5 linked regions of the Danio rerio genome follow. The protein of the gene in region 5 binds, or shares a complex with, the protein of the main gene of each other region. Links are inferred from orthologs where the notes say so. Each region holds a gene or a part of one and is shown on either strand. Other genes may lie near its edges.

Region 1 (6,550 bases), on a different chromosome or scaffold from region 5:
CTATCAGAAATGAGTAATATGTATAATTCAGCATGAACTTACCTGATATAAAATGAGAACTGCAGAGTCAAGCATTTCTAATTGCATTGTCACTTCATTCAGCTTCCTTTTAGCCAAAGATCTCTGCGGTTGGCATTAAAAGCAGTGTGGTGTACGGTAAAAGTTAAGTTTTCTATATTTGGACTCGAATTTGGCATCCTACCCCACAACAGTACATGTTTGCTATTGTCTCTTTTTGCAACCGGGAAACTGTGTGACGTCATGTGTGACGTAGTTTGGTAATTCGTCTATACTATGGGGGCTATTAAATGATGGATTTTGATTGGCTGAAGAACATTCTAAAGCATGGATTTCGAACACCTCGATTATTTGAATCAGCTGTGTTTGATTAGGGTTGGAGCGAAGCTGCGGTCACACTGCACTTTTCTCCCCTTAGACTTCCATTCATACGCACGCAAATGCATCAGACCAGAAACACAAGCTTGTGCGACAAGTTTTGCAGTTCGCTGCGTTAGAAAGTTCAAGCTTGGTGCCAATATGGACCAATGACTCACTTTTTTAAATGTCTAGTAATCTTGTTTAATCCCGCCACTTTTCGCAGCATCATACTACAGAATTTCGCATGCTTGAACTCTAGTGTGACCGCAGCTTAAAACTGTGCGGCCCTCCAAGAATTGAGTTTGAGACCCATGTTCTAAGGTGTGGAGTTATTTTAAGGCAAACTCTGTCCTGGAGGGCCGATGTCCTGGAGATTTTAGCTTCAACTTACCTCAACACACCTGCAAGGATGTTTCTAGAAAGCCTAGTAAGAGCTTGGTTAGCCAGCCCAGATGTGTCTAAACTTTGCAGGACACTGGCCGTCCAGGACTGAATTTGGGCACCCCTGTAATAAGGGAATTGCATGGATAAATTAGATCCAGGCAGGATTTGACCACATTACAGTTCAGTTCAGTTACTTCAACGATACAACAGTCAAAAACAAAAAATCAAAAGGCTTTTAAAGAGATGTCAAAGAAGCTAGTCCTAAACTAATCCACAGGATGATTCCCCATTTTATTATCATCAATGATTCCTTAAGTAAAGCCTAATTAGGTTTAAATAACAAAGAAATGTCTGAGAATTTATCAAACTTTTCTAAACTTGTTCACTTCTCTCAATCGATTGATTGACTCCACGGTCATCAACATGTCTTGAGCGTTTTTATATATTATTTAATTTTATGGTTTAATCACAGATAAGGTCTCTCTTCTCAGTCTTGAGCAGCTCAAGGAAAGTGCCTGTTTCCTTTTAGCCAACTTCAGGTGCCGTGAACAGCAGGAAGCAGCAGAGTCGTGATGGGAAAGGCAGAGAGTGCATGTAATATTTATATACCAGATAAGCAAGTGAGCTAGACTCTGTATAATTTTCCCTTTTCGCCCACAGCCTCCCACAATCTCTATCCACGCTATGCGGCGTCTGTGGAGGACAAGTGGGGATGTAAAACGTGCCACACTGTAGGGAGAGCAATCCGCTGTTTCAGTGTGAAGAACAAAACCCACACCTGCAGTTACTGACTGTTCCTGATTTCCATTGCCAACAATGCTGTGTTTTGCATAGAGAACACGAGGAAACGCATGGGAGGCAGTAAACCATGAAATTGGCCCAGTGGTGAAAGAAGCAGCTTTTCTTCAAAGAGGTGGGGAGGAGGAAAGGAAGCATTGTTGATGGGCACAATTTATTTTATTTTTGTTACATTGCACATTTAAGCCACAATTGCATTAACTGGAACTTTATATATTTATAGTTTAAATGTTAAATATGAGGCATCTTAAATTTGCTAGGGTTTTTAACAACAAACAATAGAAAGGTCATGATGAGCAAACGAGAATATGAACACTATTTTGTATTTGCCTACTATTTGTTATAATTTATTAAAGAATAACAATAGAAATTCTGACTCAAGCAGGCTGATTGTAATCCAGGTAATGAGTAGCCTACCACCATTTACTGTCAGTTTTATCTAGCTATGGATTTTTGCGCCATCTACTGTCCATTGACTGTGACACATCTTTGTTTTGCAGGAGAGACATGCATTTACAATAAAACAAGTAAAATAAATGTATAATTTCTATATAAAAATAATTATGAATCGCAATTTATGTATCCAAGATAAGTTAATAGAGAATTCATGATAGAGTCAATACTTTATTATTATTATTATTATTATTATTATTACTTATCTGTCAAGCCTAAAAATAATTTAGTTACATTCCAGACAATATAAATGTTTAACAACATAATATAGAGCAAATACATAAAATAATTATATGGGATAATATAATTCCTACAATGTGGCAATGTGCAAATTGGGGGCTATGCCTTGTTATCTAAACTTGAAGTATGAATTATTATTATTATTATTATTATTATTTTGATTCACATATATTTATACAATATAATTACATTTCATTAATAAAATAGATGTTTAAAATTATACGTGTAAATGAGTTGAGTTATACTGTAAACGAAGAAAAAAATAAACATCAAAATTGTAATTAACATGCACATATACATATTACACAATATAGTAAAATGAAATAGCCCTACCAAAGGGTTCTAGATCAGTGGGCCAGGGCCTACTGTAAAATATTACGCTGAACAAACGAGTGACTTTTATTATGAAAAACGTATAGTCGGCCATGTTGAAAGCGAGTATGCTCACGCTGAAAACAGAAAACAAAAATTGTCTCATGTTTTGAAGTTCAGCTTACGTTTACACCATGGACGAACAAATTACTGTAAGTATCTCTAGTGTGTATTTTGTCAGTCTGCAGTGTTATGTGGAAATTCGTTATACTCTGTGAGCTGCGGTGCTGTTTCTCCAGGGTGGATATAGTGAGCCATGCGGACAGTGCGCTGCTGTGGACTGGGGAGTGTCAGACGAGGGTCAGTTCTTCTGTAAGAGCTGCCACAATGTCATCGAGGTGGGTTAATAGATATTTTAATATATAGTACATTAATACATAGACAGAAATCACTTTTTTTTTACATATGTATAGTTCTTCCAATTCCTATGAGCTTGTTTAAATGCATGGACAGGTATGAAGTTGTCGTATGTATTATAATTTACTCACTTTTCTGCTGATTTTCATTATGCTGCTGACTTTAATAGTTATATTAACATTTAATTTAATGATTGGTTAATTAATTTAAAAAAAATCATTAAACAAAAAGCTAATTAAAGCAGGAGTTGGGTAAATAAATATTACTAATTATTATCATACTCCCCCGGTTGATTGATTTATTTTTATTGAAAGCAGACATAAATGAAAACTTTTCATTTTATGAAAACTAAAATAGTATTTTAGTCACGTAAAGCTTATGCAGGTTTTATGAATGGGTTACATGCACAGAAGTGTTGTTCAGCCGAATCTTCAGGCAAACGATTGATGTGACTAATTTCAATTGCATAAGGGACCTTTTACAGCATCGATAATGTAGATTTTTATTTAGTTTAACAAAAAAAAAAAAACATCAGTAAATAGCGCTTTTCTGCCCAGCCTGCTCTACTGAGCTGAAGTTAGTTTTATAATCACATTGGTTCATTGTTTAACACTAGCCCCTTTCACACATACAGACCTTTCCGGAAAATTGGCGGCAATTTTCCGGCAGGTCCTTTTTGAAAATACCGGTAAATTCGTTCTGGCTATTTTCCGGAAAGAGAAGTTGTAACATTACCGGCAATTTGCCGGAATGCTGCGCTGTGTGAATGCAGAAGGAAGATTCCCGTAATAAGCGCGTGCACGTCTAGAACGTGCTGACGTGAGACGTCTGCTTTAGCCAATCACAACAGTCAGACGCATTTACGTCCGCGGGGTTTGTGAGAATAAAAGCCTTTGAATATTTTTCCAGACACATTTAGCTGCTAGAAGTTAGTCAGATCACGTTTATATGTTCTTCTTAATGCCAACTGTGTAAATAATCATCGATGAGATGCTTATGATAAGCCGTTGTTTGTTTACCTTCAAGCTTTGCGTGTGCCTGTGAAACAGCCTGTGAGCGCCTGCACACGCAGATATTATGAACATCTCGACATGCGAAAGTGATCCTGCGAAAGTTGTTCACAATATTGATCATCCACAGAGTTTGTAATTTAGTCAAATGTTTACAAACACAAGCGCAGCCGTTTAAAGCTCATTTGTGGTGAATGATGTCAGAATTTACCGGTATTTTGGAATGGATGTGTGAATGCTCTTTTCCGGAAAATTTCCGTAACGTCCTTACCTGTGTGAACAGGGCTTTTTTGAATATACCGGTAAAGTCGTTCCGGAAATTTTCCGGATATTTACCGGTATCACTGTGTGAAAGGGGCTACTCACAATCTGTGAAGTGCTCCTATATTGTTTACCATGCTACGCTGAATATTCAGCCTGAAATAGCATGTAAATATGGCTTAGTAATAAGTGTAATTCCTGCATGCCACCGGCCAACCACTAAGCATACAGTAGTCGCTGTAGGACAAATCGTGTGAAAGAGTGAGACCAGCGATCCTTGCATGCATTAAATATTGTACATCATGACAAGTTTTGCTTGCGACAGAACTGAAAATGTGCTAGATATATAATACAGTATGTCGTTCGGAATTGTAGTTTTATAAGTACTATAAAGTTTTCTAACTGGCAAATGACACAATCTAGTGATTGTCTGCTGTCAACTTTAAGCTGCGCGTTCATGATTTCAGGAGTCCTGGCTTGGGATGGCTGGGGTTTTCTAAGATATGCTAACGGATAGCATTTTGGCAGATTACCTCCTGCACCTTTAAACTGACAAACAAAACAAAAACGTTTGGTGTAAGACTTGCTGAAGAAGCTTTATGGCTCATTTCAGGAGAACAAAACCAATTTTTAAAAAAAAACAGCATCTGAAAACGTGTAATATAATAGAAATCTGCAGGCACAAATTTATAGTGCTATAAAAGAAACACTTTATGATGACTGTTTTGTCTACAGTGTCTCATCTTAATGGCATGATGTTATAAGCTTTACACACCTAAAGCATGTTGCTTGTTTTAACATCTTCTAGAAAATAAGGGAGGTAGAGGATGTTACCAGCCTTCATCATAAGCATGGCAGGATCTCAATAGTCAGGAAACCCAAGAAGAAAAAACATGGTCAGTCCAGCTTTACTTACTGTTTTTATTCTTGTTGATCATTTCTAACAGGATATTGTGCTAAAATGAAAAATTGAACCTGACGCCTCTTATGTCTGTTTTCAGATTCTGAAAGGGAGTGGTTGGTCTGTGAGGGATTTCAGTTCATCCTCAAACACCAGGCCAAGGCTTTGGTCAGTCTAGGTGTTTGTATGAAGTTTGAGGTTAGTGCTCTTCGTTTACTGAATCAAATTAAGTAGTTTGCACAGTATTCTTATGTTGTTAGATTTTATATTTGGTACATTGATCTCTTATGTAATTATGTAATTTTCTGTATAATTTGTTTTACTTTATTGTAGAGGTTTTTTTTTTTGTGGGTGCAAGTGTAAAATATAATGTATAAACAGTGCGACTTGTAGGATCATTTTACAGGTTAAACCCAAAAAGGACTCTCCTGTCATGTCACTTGCAATCGACACTAATAAACAGGAAGTAAGCCTCTTACAGACTATGTTTTTAATGAATGATATAGCTGAATAATTAATGATAAAAATGTGATTTGAAGATTTAAAAAGAGGGTGGAGGGATTAATTTGATTACACACATCACTGAGCTGAAATGTTTGTGACTTTGTTTTCCAATAGAATGTAAAATAAAGAACGTCAAAACACATAATTTAATGAGTGCGGATCACTGGCTACTTCTTAGTTTACTGAATCACTTTATGGATGACAAAAAAAAAGAATCTCCAAATTAAGGTTGGGAATTGGAGATTTATTTAGATTCTAGTATTGGATACTTGGATTAGAAATCGGATACTTGTTATAAAGTCAAACATTTAATTTAATGAGTGCGGGTCACTGGCTACTTCTTAGATAACTGAATCAAAAGAGTAGCTACATTTGGTAAAGAATGTCGGCAAAGTTAAATGTCATTATTATTGTAAAATCAAAGTCGATATGCATAATTGGAATAGGAATTGATCAAGTTCAAATGTTAGCCAACCCTACTCCTAATGCAATGTCATGTTTTGTTTTGACAGACAGAAGTTCTGTGGAATTTCTGGAAGAGGTACCTGCAGAACACAAGGCAAGCTTTTACTGAAAATCCAGTGTCCACTGCGAGGTTTGAAGTGGTACGTTTTGTGTTGAATTTTAAAATTGAAATTGTTTTGAAGACCTGTGAAGAAGATGTTGACAAATTTTTATTAAAAAAAGCAAATAATAATCAAAAGCCATTGTTTAGTCATTGTTTTGCTTTTTAAAATTAGTTTTCATGTTAATGCTATTTTATTTTTACATTTTCTCTTAACTTCAGTTTAATTATAGTTCATTTCCTTTACTATTTTTCTCAATTTTAGTGTCGTTTTATGAACACATTTCTCTTTAGTTTTATTGCTTTTAGTTTCAGCTTTAGTAATTT
Region 2 (6,459 bases), on a different chromosome or scaffold from region 5:
ATTTTGACTATACACTGTAGTGAGTTTTCACTCAGAAATCCCTAAATATATTAGCCAACATACAGAATTAAAAAAAAGTCAAGTTTGGAAAGAGGACTTTTTTTTTTTAAATGTTCTCAAATGTTGGCAAATTTGTGATCATGAAAATCCAATTTAATTTGTACAGAATATTTTTGTCTTGTAGTTCTTGTAGTGTAATTAATAGTTTGAATTAGTTGTAATTGAAAAAGGAGGGTTTTGGTAATATGATTAATAAGGGCAATACAAATAATAATATAGATCGAAAAACATACACACGTTTTTTATGAACCTTTGACATTCCATAGGTTTCTATTGTTTTTATACTGTACAATCTGTATTTTCCCCACCCTATCCCTAAAACCAACCCTTACAGGAAACTAGTTAAACTTACAAGATTTTATTCATATGCATTTTTTATGTATTCATATATTACATTCTATATTATAAGTTTTTGGAAAAATGGGGACATCAGTCCTCATAATTCACTCCGCTCATAATTCACCATATTCGTGTAGTATAATTTGTGTCTTGATACAATACAAAACACAGACACAAACACAAACTGAACACGATTCAACCCAAAACCTTAAACCTTTTGACTTAAATTTGTACAAACACTGGAAAAAAAAGGAAATAAAGCACATTCACTCACAAACTTTGAAAACTGCATTTTACTCAGTTTTGACCCTTTACTGCCTAATCAAATTGTACACATGTATTTACATATTCAAAGACATAAAAAAGATAACTATAACAGAAAAAACAGCAGGATCTCATCTGGCATCAAACACGACCACTGGAAACAGAAGTTAAGGGAAAAACTTAAAAAACACAAGACAAAGATCACAAAAATTGAGATACTAACCTAATAGCGTGGAACCAAGTTTAACTTAACATTATTAAAAAAAAATTAAAGTAACAGCTCATCCCCCCAAAATAATCATTTCCTGATACGTTTTAAATCATTTAAACAGAAAAAAACTAGGAAAATGAAATTGCATTAATAACGTTAATGGCCTATTGAACAGCTCATAACTACAACATTTAACATCTTTTATATTTTTAATGGTTAATGTTTGGAATAGCCCAATGAAATTAAGTAAATAATAGAATAAAGTTACTTTTGTTTGAATAAACTTATTTCAACCACCAAGTAGGGCTGTGCAATAAACAAAGTCTGTTGTTTTATATTATACTCTATCATTTACTTTGTTTACGGATGCAGACAGAAACATGAACAACGGCATCATATGGGAAATTTGCAATCTAGAAAGAACAATGTTTACATTTGGCATTTTATTTAGCAATATTTTTTACATTATGTTGGATTAATCGTTGTAATCATTTGGTATTTAAAGTGTGTTTTTATTTTATTAAGAATTTATTCATATTTCTACATCTTTACTAAAAACATTTGCTTTGAAGTTCTAAATGAAGTAAGAAATATGTTCACACATGAATGAGCGCATTTCTGAGTATATACTTTAAAATGTAAAGAACAAAAACAAATAGTGCTTGAGATGTGGTCAATATACTGAGGTTGGCGCCCTTTAATTTTCTCTAGGCCAGTTTCATTAGTTTGCCTTTTTTTAAAGGTCCTGTGAAACTCAAACTAAACTTTTTTTTAGATGTTAGTTTTAAGGATATCTATTAGCTAGTAGGGTTGGGTCGATGGACGAAGCCATCGTCGATAGACATATCGATGCTGAGCTGGCATCGCTAACCTCCACCCCACCGTAGCAGCAATCCGTTTGTGAAAAATACACACTTAGGCCCCGTTTACACTAAAGCCTGATTCATACTTCTGCGTCAGGTGACCGGCGTAACCCACGGCGCAGGCAACGCGCGTGGCTGTGCATTTATACTTCTGCGCGCTGTCTCTGTCGGTTTGCATTAACACTTCCGAAACGCTAGTTGGCAGTGAGGTGTAAATGTTCCTCTGTGTTGAGTTTCTTCGCTACTTTTTTGCATTTCCTGAACACTTCTGGGATGTACAAGTGGCTCAAACTCGCTCATTTTAAGGCAGGAACCGGCGGACGTGCAACAACTTTAACTATAAGGTAAACACAAAACAAAACTTTCCATCCGGAGCTCCATCACGGGACTCCACACTTGTAAACAATCGCTCGCGCGGCGTCGCGCCATTCGCGCAGCTCTCGGTCCCGCCCAGACTCGTCAGCGCTACCAAGCCGACCAATCACAGAGCTTGCGCTACGCGTTGTTGCGATGTGTAGTTACATTTTTTGAGAGGTGCACGTCAGTGACGGCGATGGCCACGGCGAAGGGCTATGCGTCAGCGCCGTAGCATACGCCGGTGTTTGACCCAGAAGTATAAATCAGCCTTAATACATCTTAGTTTTAAAATGGCATTTTAGAACAAAAGCGACCTACGTCCACACAGGCGTTTCATCTAGCATTTCTGAAAAGCCTTCCTTCCACTCGATATCGATGAAAATGCACACTGTTATGCCTGCAGTATACATTCGTATCAGAGCTTCAGACATTTTGGTCTTTTGAATCTATCAGGTAATGTGTCACAGCATCAGTACACTGCTTCGGTGTTTCGCTTTCATGCTTATACTTAGTAATTTTAGTGAAAACCTCAGATACAGTTGGTTGGTTGTGCACCTTTTTTTCCCAACCAAGTTTGTCAATGTCATTGTAAAGACACAGATCACTCTATTGGCCTATTCATGCCAGAGTCCAATGGAAAAAGTGATTGAAAGGTGGTAATTTGTGTGCAACTTTATTTATTTTTGATTTGGTTATGGGTAAAACAAAGACCTTGTGGGTCAGGTAGTTGAAACATGGGCTACAAATAATTAATCCGTTATGAATTAATAATTAATTCACTGACGCCTACAATAACGATGTTATCGTCCATTACTTTGTTTCACATTATACATCATATGATGGCAAATTGGTCAACATCGCCCAATCCTATTAGCTAGTGTGCTCCAAAACAGTGACACAATATGCATTTAGAAAATGTAAAACTAATAAACATCCAGAGCTTAAAATTACATCAAATATGTTTATTTGAAATTATTTTTCACATGTATGTGTATTTTCAAAATGTAGGAATATACGTGTTCCCCAGTTTGTACATAAGCTACCAGCAGCTGTGAGATTTCAGTTAATTTACTTTTATTATACATTAAACTACAAACTAGTGTACTTTTCTTGGCTATCAAGTAAAATAAAGAAGTATTGCAATAAGTTTTTTCTCCTTAACCTCTTACTAAGGCTAACTGTATTGTTGTATCCCTAGTTACTATATCATGACATATCTCATTATTAGCAAATGAGAGGATTATAGCGTGAAATTAATTTAATCAACTTTTTTTGTCGTATCAACCAGGCCTACCACAAAGCATTGGTTTAGTTGATAAAGGATACATCTTTTGGTCCTCTTTTTGTACATGATCCTGTAACCACACTCTCTGCATCTGATGGGGTCTCTGGCCTTGATCTCGTTTTCTGTGTGACACTCTGAAACAAACACACACACACACACACACACACACACAAAATTTCAAGCTCAAAAACAGACTAGATTGTGAACATCTTGATTGTTTAGCATTAAGAAAGAAATGACTGATTACAAAAATATAATCAATACATAAACCTTCTAATAGATCAATATACATATAGATTATAAACATAAATACAATCAAAAGAGCAATCACCTCCACAAATGTAGATCATTGGCTGTTGTTTGGGGGGCTGAATGTCTTTCTGAGAATCCATGGCTTAAAGCAAACACACAAACATGATTATATAGTCTAAATTGAATAAATTCATTAGAATATTACACATTATTTGACCTAAACCTATCGTAAGAGCACATTTAAGAGATGCTGCACTATGCACAAACACGTTCTTCCATTATAAACCCAACAAGACACGTAATTCATCATATTAAAATTGCAATAAAACCCCGCACATATCATTCATCCTGTCATTTATCAGTGTACAAACGAGTACGAAATGTAAACATTCAAAGCATTAGCTACCTTTCACGCGTGAGCTCTCTGTTTGCTTCGAAACGTTTTTCGTTCACGCATGCGCACAAGCGACATCACATCACAGTAACGAACAATGCTATTGGTTGGCAAGAATTGAACCAATCTCGTCATACGCCGCCAGGAGGGAGGACATTACCATTTTACGCAGAGACTTACAGGTTCATCTGGGACTTTTATTTTATTACTGCCAGCAATTTCAGATGGCGGAGAAAAACTTCGCGGCGACGTTTTTAAACATTCATTTAGTGACAGACGTACGTAACCATGAAGACGTATTATTTGTGTACTTTTTTGTTTAACGCTAATGGTTTATATTAATTCATGTGTAACGCTGTTATTAAACCTGTCCTGAAATTGTGAAACAGTCTAAACACATTTATTTACTAACAGAAATGTGTTATTATTAATGAATAATTATTATTTGATTTTTTGTATGAGTGAAATGTGTTTCGTACATTGTCACTTGATTTGTCGGTGTTGTTGACGGTCTCAGAGCAGGAAGTAACGTTAGTGAGTCGCAGCTGCAAAAACTGCCAGTAACGTTAAACGTTCAGCTCTCGGGTAAGTTTGCAAAACTTTACTGTCAGTATTATATACTATTATATGTTTTATAGGTATAACCAGATAGTCTGTACACTGTTAGTATTTATGTTTGTAATGTGTTTTTTTTTTACTGGCAGTCGTAATCCCGCCTCACCCTTTCAGTTTCTGTTTCTCGGCAATGTGTTTAATACATATCAACATTCCCATTTATAATGTGTTTATAACGAAGGTATATGTCAGAACAAGCTGATCCAGCCAATTGTCATTTATTCATATTAATAGAGTTACTAATTATTGATAGCTGTTTATCTTTTTGATATACTGAAATGTTTTGTTACTGTTTCAATAATACTGAAATACTGCTAATTCCTTAAATATTATTATGATTTTTTAAAACTAATGTTCATTTTTAGAGCAAAAGATAGATATACTTTGCATTTGAAGGTAATTCAAATCCACAGGACACATGTTGGCCATTAATAACTAAATCAAGTGTAAGCACAAGTAATTAAAACGGTTTATGAAATGTAATAACATATTTAAATTATTTAATATTCCATAGTTATCAACAGGTGTATGCATTGTAACTATTGAGGGCAGCAATATTCAGAAACTATCCCCAAAAGACATCTCAGAAAGATATTCATGTTTTGTTTTTATGTTGAATGTCTAGAATGATTGTATTGTAATCAAAATGGTTCCGTCAGTAACATTACAGTTATACAATAGATAATAAACAACAAATAAGACTTCCTATTAGCAGCGCTTTTGTACATTCTCACATTTTTAGGTCTCCCAACTTATAAATTTGGACGTTTTATATTGTTGTTCAAAATAAAATTAAACTAAGTTGAGTTCCCCTTTGCTAATTGACTCGCTTTTATTACAAAAACACAGAGTCTTTATGCATCTGCATGGCTGCAAGCACACACTTTTCAAAGGCAGCTAATGTCAAGAGAGATTTGTTATGAAAGTGTTCATTCCCTTTATTAATTAGGGATCACCACAGCGGAATGAATCATCAACTATTCCACCATGTGTTTTACACAGCAGATGCTTATCTAGCCGCAACCCAGTACAGGGAAACACCCATGCACTTTTGCATTCTCACACACTCATACACTACGACCAATTTAGTTTATTCAAGACACCTATAGCGTATGCCTTTGGATTGTGAGGGAAACAGGTGGACCCTGAGGAAACCCACAGGAACACGGGGAGAACATGCCAGCTCCATGTCAGAAATGACAACTGGCCCAGCCAGGACTCAAACCAGCGACCTTTTTGCTGTTAGGCGACAGTGCTACCCACTGCGCCATCGTGAAACGGAAATGCTTGTAGTTTCTGCTAACTCGACTCTACACCGTAACTTTTCAATCCAGATGGATGGGGCAACCATTACTGCATCAAAAATGGTGAAAAGCCTTGGAGTAACGATTGATGACCAACTAAACTTCTCTGACCACATTTCTAGAACTGCCCAATCATGCAGATTCGCACTCTATAACATCAGAAAGATCCGACCCTTCTTATCTGAACATGCAGCTCAACTCCTTGTTCAAGCTCTTGTTCTCTCCAAACTGGATTACTGCAACTCTCTACTAGCTGGGCTTCCAGTTAACTCTATCAAGCCTCTTCAACTGCTCCAGAACGCAGCAGCACGAGTGGTCTTCAATGAACCTAAACGAGCACATGTCACTCCGCTGCTCATCCGTTTGCACTGGCTGCCAGTTGCTGCTCGCATCAAATTCAAAGCTCTGATGTTTGCCTACAAAGTGACTTCTGGCCTTGCTCCTTCTTATCTGCTCTCACTTCTGCAGATCTATGTGCCCTCCAGAAACTTGCGTTCTGTGAATGAACGTCGCCT
Region 3 (4,161 bases), on a different chromosome or scaffold from region 5:
GTCTACAAGCTGTATATGGCCTAATAAGCTCGCTGACATAGGCGGGGGCAGAATTGTGCAAAGCTTTATAAGTGAAAAGAAGAATTTTAAAAGCAACCCTGTATTTTATAGGTAGCCAGTGCAATGAGGCGAGGACAGGGGAGATATGATCTCTTTTCTTAGTTCCTGTTATTAATCTGGCGGCTGCATTTTGGACCAACTGTAGCCGAAAGAGTGTTGACTGAGGTAGGCCAATGTACAAAGAGTTGAAGTAGTCTAACCGAGAGGAGATTAAAGCATGGGTTACGATTTCTAAATCTTTTTTAGAAAGAAAGGGTTTAACTTTTGCCACCAATCTAAGCTGGAACAAACTGCTCTTCACAACCGCATTTACATGTTTGTCAAACTGCAAGAGTGGATCAAAGATAACTCTGAGATTCTTGACGTGATTGTGCAGATTGTCGTTTAGGGCTCCTAGCTAAGTTTTAATTGAATTGTTGGTAGCAGCAGGACCTAAAATTAACACTTCTGTTTTATTCTTGTTTAGTTGCAGAGAGTTATTTGTCATCCAGGTCTTAATGTCGGTAAGGCATAGGAAAATATTTTCTAATGATAAATCTTTTCCTAGTTTGATTGGAAAGTATAGTTGGAGATCATCAGCATAGCAGTGATAGCTTATGTTATGTTTGAGGAGTATTGAGCTTAAAGGAAGCATATAAAGAGAAAATAAAAGAGGGCCAAGAATAGATCCTTGTGGAACACCACAATGAATAGGTTTAGGTGGTGAAGTAAAGGATCCAATATTTACAGAAAAAGATCTCCCCTTTAGATATGAGGAGAACCACTGCAAGGCAAGGCCCTGAACCCCAACAACACACTCAAGTCGTTTCAATAATATGTTGTGATCTACGGTATAAAAAGCAGCGCTTAGGTCTAAAAGTATTAAAATCGCAGATGATCCAGAATCCATGAAGAGTAAAATGTCATTTGTGACTTTTAGTAGTGCAGACTCAGTGCTGTGTTTTGCTCTAAAACCAGATTGTAAAGGGTCTAGAATATTAAAAATGTCCAGGTTAATTGTGAAACTACAATTTTCTCTAAAACCTTTGAGAAAAATGAGAGCTTAGATATGGGCCTGTAGTGGGCAGGCACAGCGGGATCAAGATTAGGCCTCTTTAATAGAGGCTTTACAACAGCATGTTTAAAGACATCTGGAAAAACCCTGTTTATTAAGGAGCTGTTTATTAAAGCTAAGAGTGAGGGGCAGATTGTATCTAAAACCTCTTGAAAAAGACGGCAAGGCAGTACATCTGAAGGACAAAAGGTGAGTTTCATCTGAAAAATTTTATTAAGTAGCTGAGAAGAAGATACAGGCTGAAAATTTGTGAAACTGTTGGATGGAGGGACCGAATCAGAATGATCTATGTCGGTGGGAAAGAGGTGTGATTTAATATCTTGTAAAAAAGTCAGAGAACTTTATGCACGTCTCCAGATTGACAACAGGAACAGAGCACATAGTTGGATTAAGAACTGAATTAATAGTTTTAAGGACTATTTTTTAATAGTTTTAAGGACTTTTGGCTTACTTGCACTTTTAGTAATCAAATTTGAAAAATATTTAGATTTAGCCTCACTGACCGAGTCTTTATACGAAATTTATAATTTATGGAAAAAAACACCTCACTGGCAGATTATTTAGCTTGTTTTAGGGAAAATCACTTAATATTTCTACTAACAGTGAAAACAAAACAATTTTTTTACTTTACTAATTTTTTTTTATATTTGGACTGGAAACAAGACAGTGTAAGAAAAGCATTTTTTTCTACTGTGGTTATTCAGTTTCTGCACCTGAATACTGATAGACTCATTCATCTTGTGAAATGGTATTCGTATTGCTTTATTTAGCATAGAAAAACAAAGTATCGCAATATCCGACTTTTCCATTATAGTGCAACCCAACCAACTTTTACAAATCTCTACTGAAATGTAAAAAAAATGGCTACTGGAGTTTGTTCCTGTATCTTTTTATGTTTCCACAGAATTCTTCAGAATATCTTGTTTTCTGTTCACCCACAGCAAGACGTTTATAAATGTTTATAAGCACTTGAGTATAGGTAAATGAAGAAATGTCATTTTTGGGAAAATCCCGTTAACTAAACAATCCATTCCTCACCTGTGGAGATGCCAGACCTTGAGCGAAAGGAGGTAGGCTGTTGTTCTGCTCCATGCTGACGGGTTATGAAGCAAAACAACAGAGCAGTGGTTCAGGGCTTCCCTATAAAACTTCAGTGGCTCCAAAAGACGTAAACTAAAATGAACGAAAAAAAGATACAAATTAACAAATATTAAAAATCCGATTACACACAACAGTGCAGACACGATTATAAAAATCCCAAGTGCACCTAAATAAACAGACATGCACAAGAGAAAATTTAATGCAATATCTGAACGTTAAATTAAAAGAACACAGTAACGTTATTCTGGATTTATAAAGAAAGTATAATACGTAAATTGACCAACAGTACGAGGACCTACAGAAACACTAAATAATAGAATTCCCATTCAAGAGAACAGAGTTGACAATGTTAAAGAGGTGATAGTGAGCAGAACAGGAATGCAGCACAGCGTGTTTAGCGAGGCTAATTTTGGAGCTAACTTTAATATGTTCGTTAAAAACCCAAGCAGTTAACACTTGTAATACAGTTCTCCGTCTAGAAACAGTGTTAGATCAAAGGACAGCCAAACAAACCGATAATTCGCAGGATCCACCGGTTGGCTACGAGCTGAATAGTTCCAGAAGCGCAGGGAGCGCGCAAAACATGAGACTTCACAACAACTTCCGCCGTCTTTAATATGCGCTTCCGGTGCACTATTAGCTCGCATGTTCAAATCAAATTTGTGATATTTTACATATAATCCTGTATGCTTGTCAGTTATATGCTTCAATACAAAAAATATATATTTTATATACCATTTTGATGGATGTAAACAAGAACAATGATCCCGATGTATTTCCTGTTTTACATTTTTAATTTCTATAGTTTCAGAGAATGCAAAACTGGTGAATACATATTGCTAAATAAGGTTATGACAGCTGTTTTAATGTTAATTTATGATTGAATTGCCTAACATTACAGTTATGAAATAGTATGATAACAAGCAGGAAAATGTTCATACTTGGGCCAATGACATGACCACATTGAAATAGTCGTTTTATTGTGCAAAAAGGGTAAACGTTAAAAATGTACCTATTGTTTTCTTTATATTTTTTTTACAATAAATAAATCTAAAATCTTTAACGTATTATTGCAATATACATTATTGTGCATTAATTCAAATCACTGCATTATTGCTTAATTATGTATGAAATTGAATCAAAATACAAATTTTATTGAAAGTCAGGCCATGTCAAAAAGTCAGTTTATGTCACTTTAAAAATGACACATTGTGTACATTATGCATAGTATGGCCCTTTAAACTGTCTTTGTAACGCATAGACTTTTATTTTGAAATTGTGCTTTAATAACCCCCGGACGTAAAACTGTGTTTTAAAGTCTTACAAACGATGGAAACGAACTTTTCCTGTACATAAATAGATGTATTTCAATACATTTGTGTCAAATGGCAGCTGTGGGAACATGGTCTTTCTCTCGCCCTGCAGTGGACAGAATGAGAAGTTTGCTGCTAGCTGGACAAAACGCTACAGATGTTGTAGAAACTGCAATGGCAGGTAAATCTGACACCTGTTTGCGCTATCATCAGCCAACTGCATGGACTTTTATTATTTAAAGTCGGCTGGAACCTCTTGTGAACGATGGATTAAAATACTATTCTTATTACTGATTCAGTTGTTAGATAAATCTTTCTCCTTATCTATCTTATTTGCATAACGTTATTAAAAAATTTAGCAGACTTTATATAATATGTATTTTAATGATGCCATGTATAAGTAATAGGCAACTTAGTTTTTAACAACAACAACGAGTATTAGTGGTATAAACGCATAAGTGTTTTGTTTGCTTGTTTGCTTTTAGAAGTTGAAGATGACTTAGACACTGGACGACATATTGTTGGTGGCAGAGGAGGATTTCCAAATGCCACAGGAGTAGTTGAATGTGATGCTGCTATTATGGAAGGTTTGCCAGGGAGATTTGGGGCAGTGGCAGCACTTCGAGGGTAGAT
Region 4 (5,191 bases), on a different chromosome or scaffold from region 5:
TAATAATAATAATAAAATAAAAACTATTTAAAACTTCAATTTGCAAAATAACAGTTTCAGATTTATGAATTTGAGTTTCTTGCTTTTTAAGAGTAAAACGTGTTTTAAAAATACGTATTTTATATAGTAGAATTTAAAATAGTTTTTAGCACGTTCCTCATAAAATTGTTTTATACTTCCATTATATAATAATATAAGTCCTTTCTTTTCTTTCAACTTTTTTTGATTTAGTAATAATATAGTAAATGCCGTTTAAGAAAGACTAAACTTATGATTTACGACAATTTTAATTGGAAAGAGGTTAATAGATCATCATCAAATGGATTATAAATACTACATAAATATAATTTTGCACCATTACATCCCCTAGAAAATATAATTTTAAAATATTAATTTATAAACTATTGTGATGTAAAATAAAAAAAAAACTAACAAAAATTTCATTGAAAGTATCATTTTTAAAAGTCCTTTTTACAGCAAAGCAAGAACTGCTGTTTACTAAAATATTTGTGCTTTTTATTTCCAAATAAACTCCACTTGCTTGAACAGTATGTGATCTAATCAGATCAAAATAAAGTTCCACACAATTCATTCGTGTTGTCACAACGTACATCAATTAAGTTGGCTTAACAAATTTGAGTATACATTAACTTAATATAATTAGGTTCTCCCAAAGAAATCTAAAGAAACGAGTTGTCTCAGCTTATTTTAAATAAGCAGTTTAAACAAGAGGCAAAACATTATGAGTGTACACGTAAATATGAATGCGTGTATAACAGAAGGACCTGTATACTGCTAGACATGTTGCTGGGTGATTGTAGAGCCTGTCGAGGATTTCTGGGGTCAGTTCTTTCAGATACTCGTGCAAGTTCTTACACTGAAGCTGAACGCGAAGCTTCATCTGTAAACGGTAAAAACGGGCAAATGTAAAGACAAAAATCAAAATGACCTGCATTAGGCTCTATCAGAAAACATTATCTGTCAAACGGAGTCATATTGTTCACTATCTTTGACTGAGATGTTATAGTGCATCTACTTTGTTGGTTACACTAACGTAAACACACTGATATCAAAGGTAACAACAACAATATATTGAAATGAGCATTTAAGGAACAATAGATGCTTTAAATTCTTGCTGCCTTGAGTTCATGCCTAGAAAATGTATGTATCATATATCGTAGTCATTCTCGCTTTAAACTTAGATTTATTATACAGTCAATTTGCTTACCTTGTTTCACAGGCGCTAGGAAGCACTAAATAGTGCATAAAGTGATACACATCATTGTACTTCTTCATGAACAGTCATCTAGCCATTCAGCTCGGACAGTGTGAAGCCATGTTGTACGATCACGTGATCGCTGAAACATAAAGGCTGATTGGCTCACGCGTGTGGGAAGGGACTTTTCGGAAAACCGTATTTCTTTTACAAACTTTTATTTTTAAAATTATAAATAGTGTTTATTATGCATTCCTTATACTATATATAAAGAAAATTACATATTAGATATAAAAGACAAACATTCTTTTGATAATTTTTATTAACACTGAATAGTATGAATACAAACAAAACCTTTACATTATTTTATACAATTAAATTCTAGCAATCAATATAAGACAGCAGCAGCAACACATTTCTCATGAGTCTTCCTTTTCTTGGAACCTATAACAAAAAAAAGTAAAATATTAATACTATATAATACCCAAAAAAGACAGTCAGACAGTTGCAGCTTATTCAAAACCAGAAAATCAGAGCACATCTGTCCTCAGGTCTTTGCACTAGCTCCCAGTTACATTCATAATCGATTTAAAAGTAGCCTAAGACCTAACTGAATACAAACCTAACAGATCATTCAGATCATTAGAACCAAGTAAATAAGAAATCCCAAGTGTTCAGTCAAAGCGGGGTGAATCGGCCTTCGGCTATTAACCCTCCACAGCTGAAATCCGCTTCCAGAAACGGTCAGATGTGCTCCAACATTAGGCACATTCAAATCAAGACTGAAAACAGTTTAGCTGTGCCTTTACTGAATGAGCACTGTGCTATGTCCGACAGATCAAACCATTACGGCTTTCGTTTTCATTTTCATTCTTTAATAACCTGTTTTAAACACATTTGAATCAGCTTTTAATCATTTTTAAATCTTTTAAAGATTTTATTTTATGTCTTTTATTCTTGCTTATGTAAAGCACTTTGAATTACCATTGTGTGCGAAATATGCTATATAAATAAATTGTACTTGTATTAGTGCTAATTGGTTGAATTACAGATAGATAGTAAATAATAGTATATGTAGAAAACGTATTGTTTTTAAATGTAAATGTACTTACTCTAAAATTGTGAGAAAAATCAAGACCAACTATATAAACTGGTTGACTTTCAAATGACACTGACATCTCAAAAACTAGCTTTAACAAATAACGTTTAGTTTGGGTGCTGTACCAAACGTTTCCGCTTGATGAATTTAGTTTGCAATGCATTTATTTTTGATCGTGAACAACACAAGTGTGTCTGTAGTTCTCCAGAAAGGTTAAATTTTACAAACCATATCCAAGATTTTAAAGTCTTTGTTTACATAGCAAGTGCAAAAAGAGGCTTAATGTAAGTTTTTATTTATACCAATAAAGTTTAAAGTACAATAAAAATTATATATATATATATATATATATATATATATATATATATATATATATATATATATATATATATATATATATATATATAATTTGTCACTCTCTAAAATTTCAAAGGAGCACCAAGGGTTTATGAGCATGCTGTGTTAATTACCTGCAGTGAATACATGTGAAGAAAACAGTTTGCCCTTCATCTGCAGATCTCATCTGTCTTGTATGATAAACCATTCCCTCTTTATTACAGCGAGAACATTTCCTGTCAATCTAAGGAAAAGTTTTCAGAAGGTGAGAAAAAAGTGAAAAAGTTTACAAAGAGAATTAATGATATTTCAGACTCAATTACTCTTTTTTTGTAACATACCACTGGCCCCTTCAATTCAGCATCCTCTGCACTTTCAACAGCGACATTGCTCTGATCCAAAGGATTAAACATCACCGATGACTTGATCACTTGACTTGTGAAGTCTGAAAGAGAATCATACTACTGGGTTATAACCAGGGCCAGACGGAATCTGCGGACGTTTTTTGCTATTTCTGCTGAGAATTTTGGTAAAAATCTGCGGATTTCTGCGGAATTATTTTGGGAGTATCCAGCAGAGTATCATAGCTAAAACCTTAATATATTAAATAAAAAGTAAGTAATTACTCAATAAAAACTGAATAAATTTAGATTTACACATTTACTCAAGTAAATAAACAGAATTATGATGGGCTAATAATCTGCAGAAATCTGCGGAATTCTGTGGAAAATCTGCGGAATTCTGCGCAAGCAGATTCCGTGTGGGCATAACATAAACCTGCAAAGAAAAAGCACCTTCATCATTGACATAATGGACCCGTTTCAGTAAGGAGGTTCAACCAACTCGAACTTTAAACTTGAACTCTGAGTTGACTTACCAAGAGATTAAAAACTCAAGAGTTTTTAGTTTCAGAACAGCTGATCTGAGTTAGGTCAACCAAGTCTTGAGTGGACTGATTCAGAGTTAATGCTGTAGTCACACTAGAGTTTGAGCTTGCGAAATTCTGTTGTACAGGGCTGCACAAAAGGCCGAAATTAAACAAGATGATTGGATATTAAAAAAGCGAGTGACTGCTCCATGTTTTAAATTCCTGTACAGAGTTCACGTTTTGCTCTTCGATTGGTCTCTCACAATCATGTGATGCGATTTAGCAGGACAGAGTTCACCAAGCTTGAACTTTCCAACGCAGTGACACACGACCTTACGTTTCCGAAAAAAGTCTATGGGGAGAGAAGTCCAGCGTGACTGCAGCTTTATGCGTGCACACCACACAACTATAAAAAGGTATTATTAATGGAGCGCAGATATTACAAGTCCCCTTAGCAACATCTGAAAAAAAGAGAGCATTTTTTTTCTCCAGCTGAACTTGATGCTTATGCAGTTATAGCAAATACGATCTTATATTAAAAAAAAGCAACACAACTGCATTAGTGAAACAGAGACAGTTAGCGTGAAAAAAAGATAGCTGCACAAGTTAATGTGTATGCTTAAATCTAAAACATTTAAAGTATTTAAATATTTAAGTGTAATAAAAGAACAAGTAATGCGTGATGTTTATACACTTTTACCTTGAAAAAGTGGGGAATTGGCCATAATTTTGAAGTCATTGAAGTCGTTCAATTTCTTTTCATTCATTAATTTATTTTCTTGTCAGCTTAGTCCCTTTATTAATCCGGGGTCGCCACAGCGGAATGAACCATCAACTTATCCAGCAAGTTTTTACGCAGCGGATGCCCTTCCAGCCACAACCGATCTCTGGGAAACATCCACACACACATTCACACACACACTCATAAACTACAGACAATTTAGCCTACCCAATTCACCTGTACAACATGTCTTTGGACTGTGGGGGAAACCGGAGCACCCGGAGGAAACCCACGCGAAGGCAGGGAGAACATGCAAACTCCACACAGAAACACCAACTGAGCCGAGGTTCGAACCAGCGACCTTCTTGCTGTGAGGCGACAGCACTGCCTCGCCCAATTTCTATTCAGCTTGGTTTTTTTTAAACTGCGGTCACCACAGATGAATGAACCACCAACTTATCCAGCAGTTTTTTACGCAGCAGATGCCCTTCCAGCCTGAACCATCACTGGAAAACATCCACACACACTCGTTCACACACATACACTACAGACAATTTAGCATACGCAATTCACCTATAGCGCATGTGATGTCTTTGGACTGCGGGGGAAACCGAAGAACCTGGAGGAAACCCACACAACACAGGAAGAACATGAAAACTCCACACAGTAATGCCAACTGACCCCGCCTAGGCTCAAACCAGTGACCTTCTTGCTGTGAGGCGAACGTGCTACCCACTGCGCCACCGCGTCACCAATTTTGAAGTCATTTCAAATGTAATTGCATTAAATTACATAAAATAGGCTGCTGCATAGTTTCTACAACAAATCTGACAAAAAATGCATATAACCTTAGCTTAATGTTCAGTGGAAATGTTTAATTTAAGGTTCCCACTTTTACACACGTTGATCAGTTTAAGATTTGAAAGTGCACTTGTGTGTCTGCCTTTATTA
Region 5 (6,465 bases):
TTGTGTTGTAAAGTCTGTTAGGTTTTCTAGAGAGCTGACAAAAAACGCAGTTCAAAAGTGTGATCAATTTACATTTTGGTTAATTGGTTACCTTTAAAATCACTAAAACGGATTACAGTGGGTCATTGGGTGTCCAGGTGTTTGATCAGAGCAAGTACACTACCTGAGAAAAGTCAGGTATCAAATATCCTGAGGTATTAAGACATTTGTGCTGCCCATTACATTACAAACCACACGAGAGGGCAAATTCTTCAGCAGGATAGCGCTCCTTCTCATACTTCAGCCTCCACATCAAAGCTCCTGAAAGCATAGAAGGTCAAGGTCCTTCAGGATTGGCCAGCCCAGTCACCATATATGAACATTATTGAGCATGTCTGGCATAAGATCTTGATGAACTCTGGGAGTCCTGCAGGAACGCTTTCTTTGCCATTCCGGATGACTTTATTAATCAGTGATTTGAGTCAATGCAGAGATGTATGGATGCAGTCCTCCAAGCTCATGATGGAGTCAGAAACAATATTCATTCTTTCTCCACTGCAGCATGACTTTAAATTCTATACTGGACATTATTTCTGTTCAGTGAAAAGACTTTTGTCTAAGCAAAGTCAGACCTTACTGTCCTTATTAAATAATTAAAAATCAAGGCATGATCATATTTTATTTTGGTTAAATAAGCGTAGAGGCCTTTGCCTTTCATATAAGCCACTTCTGATACCAAATGATCTACTAGAAGTCAAGTTATTATTAGTTGTTCCTAAAACTTTGATAGGTGACAAGACTTTTGTCAGGTATTGTATTTTACCCATTATTTGGGATTTTGGGGTTTTATAAAAGAATGTCACAGAAGTTTCTAGCAATATATACACTTTCTGTATTTTGAAAGCACATGCAGATTAATACAAAAATTAATAATAATGTATAAATCTGGTGGTTCATTCCACTGTGGCGATCCCTGATTAATAAAGGAACTAAGCCGAAAAGCAAATGAATGAATGACTGAATGAATAAATCAAATCCTACAGGGGGCGCTGTTTACATAACTTTTTATTAGTTCTTGAACATTAGTTTTTAGAACATTCTAAAAAAAAGGAAACGTAATAAATAACAATCTCAAGATTAGGGTCAAGCAATAAATAATTAATAAACCATCTTGATATTAAAAGTCATTATAATGCGAAATTTAATTAGGTAATTTTTAAGAAAATAAGTTGTTATAAAATGTTGAGAAAAAATAAACACTTTACCAAAGAGTTTCAAGATAAGTCTCACCTTTCGAGAGCTGTCTTTTATAGTTACATTAAATCCAAACGTTAACCGTTTGAGAAAAAAATACACATAAAATGTTGAGAACTCATTAAAAAGTTTATTCTTCAAGAAAAAGTTACATTTCAGGAAAAGGTAAATACACACAATGTTTATAGTAAAGTTATTAATTTTTGAGAATAAAGTTGTTATGATTTGAAAAAAACAACCCGTTAAATTTAGTGAAAAAGTTTTTTCGAAACAACAACTTTATTCCAGTAATTTAATGAATTTATTATTTATTGTTATTTAAATGATATTATTTTTTCAATAAAATGACTTTAACACTGAGGTGGTTTTCTTTTTAATTTGTATTTTTATTATATACAGTATATATTTATTATTAACGATTTGCTCTGATCCTCTTCTGTAGTTTATTTACTTAAGCATTGGTCCTAATTAATAATTTACATTTTACGTTTTTCAATTTTCATATGCACTACTTGTCTATTCTTCTATTTGTTTAGTTTAATGTTATGTTTTGCAATTAAATTTTAATTTAGCTTGTTAATATGTTATTTTTGCTAATTAATATATTTCAATATTGACAATATTGAAGCTGTTATCACATGCAATAATTCACTTTGATGAGTACATCAAGTTAAACAAAAAAAAATCCAATTGAATTGCAAAACAAAACATTAATGATCTACTAACTAATGTACAACACAACGGGCTCTTATTTTGAATTATTTAGAAAAGCTTTTGTTTTGAAAGCTCGCCCTATGGCGGGTGTTTTGAACGTTCTCCTGTAGTTTCTAGCTTCCCTCGACATGTGATCGGTAAAGTCCAGAAGGGATACAGCTGTGGACACTAGCGTCAAAATAGCATCAACTTAATAACAATGTTCACGAATAATTAATATTTTTACATTATTGTGACGGTTTTGTTTAGGGTTGGGGTGTGGATAGCCAGTCATAAAATACAATTTAACGGGTAATTTAATAAATAATATGAATAATATTCGAGATAATTACTCTTTTAACATTACTGTAATGGTTGGTTTTAAGGTTGGGGTAGAAGTAGACGTTAATAAAATACAATTAATGTATAATTTAATAAATATTATATACAACTCTCGTTAACTTCAGTCTGCAGCTGTATCTCTTCTAGCAACAGCTGAGGCGCGTGTATGACGTTAGCAGCTCATTCGCGGTTTGTTTGGCGTTCGTGCTTACGGTCAACCGTCAGCCACGTTTTTCACAAACACGTGCGTTATCGACTATTATTTCCAAAATTTATTTATATTAGAGACTTATATTCAACATATTACTATCTTAAAGTGACAATGTGGTATTAAATGGATTCCGTCGGACTGCGTGTGCTCGCCGGTTTTCGCGTGAACATGCCCGGGCTTGTCTAGTCTTCTGGGCCGGTGGATTGAACCAGCGCTCGGACATCATGGACGGCACTTTTCCACATCAGCTTTTTCCACATTTTTATCTGGACGGACCGCCTGATGTAAAGCCGAAACACTGCTATAGTGGCTGGGGAACATATGAGCGAGTGTTTCCTGTCAATGCTGAGCAGGTAAGACAGAGCTGATACGTCATCATCATAATAATAATCATAACAATGACATGACAGAGCCGTACATACACGAATAGACTTTTAATGTGAAGCAGAACATTTAATCAGTTCATTATATTGTTTAAACTTAACATTTACTGGAAAACCAGCAACAATCAAGAATGGATAATTATGGTGTCGTGGCTTTGGAATAAAAATTAATTAAAATGGAAGTCAATGGAGCAAAAACAGCCACGAACATAATGAAAGGGTAGTCAGTTTGCCTATAGTGTATTACATTTTTTTTGTAAAACTCTCAAACCATTAATATATGAATACACTATTTAAAATATATGTGTCAAAGTATGGTCTGTCACCAAACATCATTCCATTTGCTGAAAAGAGAGCGAGTTGTGGCCAAATTAATACTCAAAATCACCCCAGGATGAAAAGATCCCCAACAGCACACAAGGCTAAATTGATTATAAGATTTGTTATTTTATTAAGAAATATAATTTTTTTTATGAGTTTATGCAACTTGATTTATTTTAATTTATTCATTCATTCTTTTTAATCCTGTTTGAAATTATTGTAATCGTTTTTATTTTAGATTAAGTAAGTACACTAAATAAATACTAAAGATATGACAGCCATCTTTATGGTTTATGCACATATTACAATGCAAATATAATTTGAGCACACATTTTAAACGTCGCTGCATGTCTAGAAAAAAAAAAATCAGGGATTTGTAGATCTACAAACAAATCTACAAATCAGGGATTATAACCACAAACTACTTGTGGTTATAATTCCTGATTTGTAGATTTTTTTTGGTCATAATTTTCTATGATAAAGTTATGAGGCATGTACAAGTAAATTGAGATTTGAAAAAATAAAGAAATATAAAATTAATATAAAAAATGCTAGAATATTCATAAATTTTCCTTTTTTATATTTTATTTATTTTTAATATTATGTGTGTTTATTAGTAATTACAAAGAATCTATACATAAGTAATGCATGCATTAATTGCATGTGTGATAACACTTGTAATAGTGTTAATATTGTAATATATTCATTATTAAAAAATGCATTAACAAACTTAAAATTTACTGGAAAGCCAGCAACAATCAAGAATGGATAATTATGGTGTCGTGGCTTTGGAATAACAATTTATTAAAATGGAAGTCAATGGAGATAAAACAGCCACGAACATAAAGAAAGGGTAGTCAGTTTGCCTATAGTGTATTACATTTTTTGTAAATCTCTCAAACCATTAATATATTAAACTATTCAAAATATGTGTCAAAATATGGTCTGTCAACAAACATCATTCCATTTGCTGAAAGAGAGCGAGTTGTGGCCAAATTAATACTCAAAATTACCCCAGTATGAAAAGATCCCCAACAGCACACAAGGTTAAATTGATTATAAGAAGTGTTTATTTTATTAAAAAATATGTTTTTTTTTTAAATGAATTTATGCAACATGATTTATTTTTTTGCTATTCTTTCTTTCTTGTTTGTCCTGTCTAAATATTGTGTGAAATTATTTTAATCGTTTTTATTTAGGATTAAATAAGTACAGTAAATAAATACTAAAGATATGACAGCCATCTCTATGGTTTATGCACATATTACAATGCAAATATAATTTGAGCACACATTTTAAACGTCTCAGCATTTCTAGAAAAAATCTACAAATCAAGTACTTGTAGATCTCCTAAACAAATCTACAAATCAGAGATTATTACCACAAACTACTTGGGTTTATAATCCCTGATTTGTAGATGTTTTTTGTCATGCATTACGATAAGGTTGTTATGCATGTACAAATTAATTGAGATTTTTAAAAATTGCGTATTCATCTTTTAAGGAAGAATATTAAAAAATACTAGAATATTCATTCATTAATTTAAGCATTTTTCCATTTTTATATTTTATTTAATATTATTTATGTTTATGTTTATTAGTAATTACAAAGGATCTATACATAAATTATGCATGTATAATTGCATGTGTGATAACACTTTATAATAGTGTTAATATTGTAATATATAAATATAAAAATAACGTATTAACAAAATTATAAACTTTATTAGAGAAATTGAAAATAAATTATTTTCATTTATTTATTGTTGTATTGTTCTTGTTTAATTTGACATATTAAAGTTATTTGCATGTTATAACATCTGTAATAGTGTGTTAATATTGTAATGTGTTACATGGCAAAAATAATATATTAACAGCTAAATTAAGAATTAGGCTTAGGACGATAACCATTTTCAATGTATACCGGGGTTTGGCAAAGTCAAAGATTTTATTATTTGCTTTTTTGTTGTTGTTTTTTTGGACAACAATATCTCCTGCAGAAAAGATCTCCAAAGATGCCTTTTTAAATATAAATAAATCAGTGTTTTTGAAGCTAAGGTCAATTATTAATTTGAATTATTTGGTCTGACATTTTTTTTTAACAAAGACATAAAAATGATATATTTTAGAGCAGTAATCACAATACTGTGAAATTGTAATATTTTTTTTATCCAAGGTTATCATACCGTCAGAATCTTATACTGGCCCATGCCTAATTGTGTGTGTTTATTTATTAGTAATTCCAAATGATCTATACATTATTAATGCAAGCATTAACTTATTGTTTTTTATTTCTTTTTAAAGTGTAAGCAAGAACAAAACTTAGTTGGAGAAAATAAATGGTTCTCATTTATTTTTTACTTTATTATTCTTGTGTGATGTGATGACACCTGTAATAGTGTTAATATTGTAAAATGTTTATTAGCAAAAATAATGTGTTAACAAGCTAAATTAAGATTTAATTGGAAAGCATAACATTAAGCTCGTAGACTAGACAAACAATACATATAAAAATGCAAAAACGTAAAGTAATAAATAAAACTAATAGCATAAGTAAATAAACTATGGAAGAAGCTCAGGGCCGATCATTGATAAAAAAAAACTAATTAATTGAAGAAAAAAAAAATTAATTAAAGTTATTCATGTATTATTTTCCTTTATTTACTTTCTTACTGCAATTTTTTTTGTTTTTAACTACTTTTAATCTAGCTCTAGAACCCGTATGGCATAGAAGAAATTCAATAACAATGTGTGTGTGCGTGTATAAATATATATATATAAATCTATTTATAAATCAAACTGATTAGAACTCACGAAATTGTTCAGTCGTTAAAAAAATGTAAAAAAAATATCATTATTGTTTCCACCTACTGATGTCTCACATCAGGGCTTGAAATTGCAACCATTTTGGTCGTATATGCGCCCGAAATTTTATCTATGCGACCTCATAATATATTTGGGAGCATTTGTGCGAGTGCATGAAATTGTTGTGTGCGACCAGTTTTTACTGCAAAATGTTCACCACATGCGCAGATTTGGGAGGCATTCATGCAGAATGCATCTCTGCATGTTAAACGCAGTGCTCAGGAATGGTTTAAAACAGTTGTCATGTCAATTAGCTGCAGTAAACAAAGCCAACTCGTAATGCGTGCCCTGCCTTTGCGCTCTTCTTATTGGCCCACCACTGCTCTAGCACTGAAATATCAGCTGTCAATCACTCAGTCAATGCCTTCTGGCTTTGGATGACAGAGAGAGCTGCTACCGCGAAAAATTGTAAAGCGCT

What was found.
Region 1: taf1c (region 5) and taf1b share a complex: the UniProt entries of both Homo sapiens proteins name them as parts of the transcription factor SL1/TIF-IB complex. The link is inferred for Danio rerio from reciprocal best matches to the Homo sapiens genes TAF1C and TAF1B.
Region 2: taf1c (region 5) and polr2k share a complex: the UniProt entries of both Homo sapiens proteins name them as parts of the pol I pre-initiation complex. The link is inferred for Danio rerio from reciprocal best matches to the Homo sapiens genes TAF1C and POLR2K.
Region 3: taf1c (region 5) and tbp share a complex: the UniProt entries of both Homo sapiens proteins name them as parts of the transcription factor SL1/TIF-IB complex. The link is inferred for Danio rerio from reciprocal best matches to the Homo sapiens genes TAF1C and TBP.
Region 4: taf1c (region 5) and polr1h share a complex: the UniProt entries of both Homo sapiens proteins name them as parts of the pol I pre-initiation complex. The link is inferred for Danio rerio from reciprocal best matches to the Homo sapiens genes TAF1C and POLR1H.

What each region holds. Positions count from the first base shown.
Region 1 is NC_133195.1:32,285,184-32,291,733, reverse strand, and holds the start of taf1b (TATA box-binding protein-associated factor RNA polymerase I subunit B), read left to right. Parts: upstream 1-2,666; 5' UTR 2,667-2,759; coding exon of another isoform or gene 2,760-2,777; intron 2,778-2,864; coding exon of another isoform or gene 2,865-2,963; intron 2,964-5,061; coding exon of another isoform or gene 5,062-5,149; intron 5,150-5,254; coding exon of another isoform or gene 5,255-5,352; 5' UTR 5,353-5,587; coding exon 5,588-5,620; intron 5,621-6,170; coding exon 6,171-6,263; intron 6,264-6,550. UniProt on the Homo sapiens protein: Component of RNA polymerase I core factor complex that acts as a GTF2B/TFIIB-like factor and plays a key role in multiple steps during transcription initiation such as pre-initiation complex (PIC) assembly and postpolymerase recruitment events in polymerase I (Pol I) transcription.
Region 2 is NC_133194.1:13,080,027-13,086,485, reverse strand, and holds polr2k (DNA-directed RNA polymerases I, II, and III subunit RPABC4), read right to left. Parts: upstream 4,118-6,459; 5' UTR 4,038-4,117; intron 3,774-4,037; 5' UTR 3,772-3,773; coding exon 3,711-3,771; intron 3,514-3,710; coding exon 3,421-3,513; intron 818-3,420; coding exon 795-817; 3' UTR 670-794; downstream 1-669. UniProt on the Homo sapiens protein: DNA-dependent RNA polymerase catalyzes the transcription of DNA into RNA using the four ribonucleoside triphosphates as substrates.
Region 3 is NC_133188.1:27,610,667-27,614,827, forward strand, and holds the start of tbp (TATA-box-binding protein), read right to left. Parts: upstream 2,801-4,161; 5' UTR 2,729-2,800; intron 2,288-2,728; 5' UTR 2,207-2,287; coding exon 2,153-2,206; intron 1,304-2,152; exon of another isoform or gene 1,219-1,303; intron 1-1,218. Other genes in the region: zgc:153169 (uncharacterized protein), read left to right, coding at 3,649-3,709, 4,014-4,155. UniProt on the Homo sapiens protein: The TFIID basal transcription factor complex plays a major role in the initiation of RNA polymerase II (Pol II)-dependent transcription.
Region 4 is NC_133194.1:29,749,754-29,754,944, forward strand, and holds the end of polr1h (DNA-directed RNA polymerase I subunit RPA12), read right to left. Parts: intron 3,097-5,191; coding exon 2,993-3,096; intron 2,896-2,992; coding exon 2,786-2,895; intron 1,661-2,785; coding exon 1,636-1,660; 3' UTR 1,521-1,635; downstream 1-1,520. UniProt on the Homo sapiens protein: Core component of RNA polymerase I (Pol I), a DNA-dependent RNA polymerase which synthesizes ribosomal RNA precursors using the four ribonucleoside triphosphates as substrates. Can mediate Pol I proofreading of the nascent RNA transcript.
Region 5 is NC_133196.1:7,091,150-7,097,614, reverse strand, and holds the start of taf1c (TATA box-binding protein-associated factor RNA polymerase I subunit C), read left to right. Parts: upstream 1-2,450; 5' UTR 2,451-2,703; coding exon 2,704-2,832; intron 2,833-6,465. UniProt on the Homo sapiens protein: Component of the transcription factor SL1/TIF-IB complex, which is involved in the assembly of the PIC (pre-initiation complex) during RNA polymerase I-dependent transcription.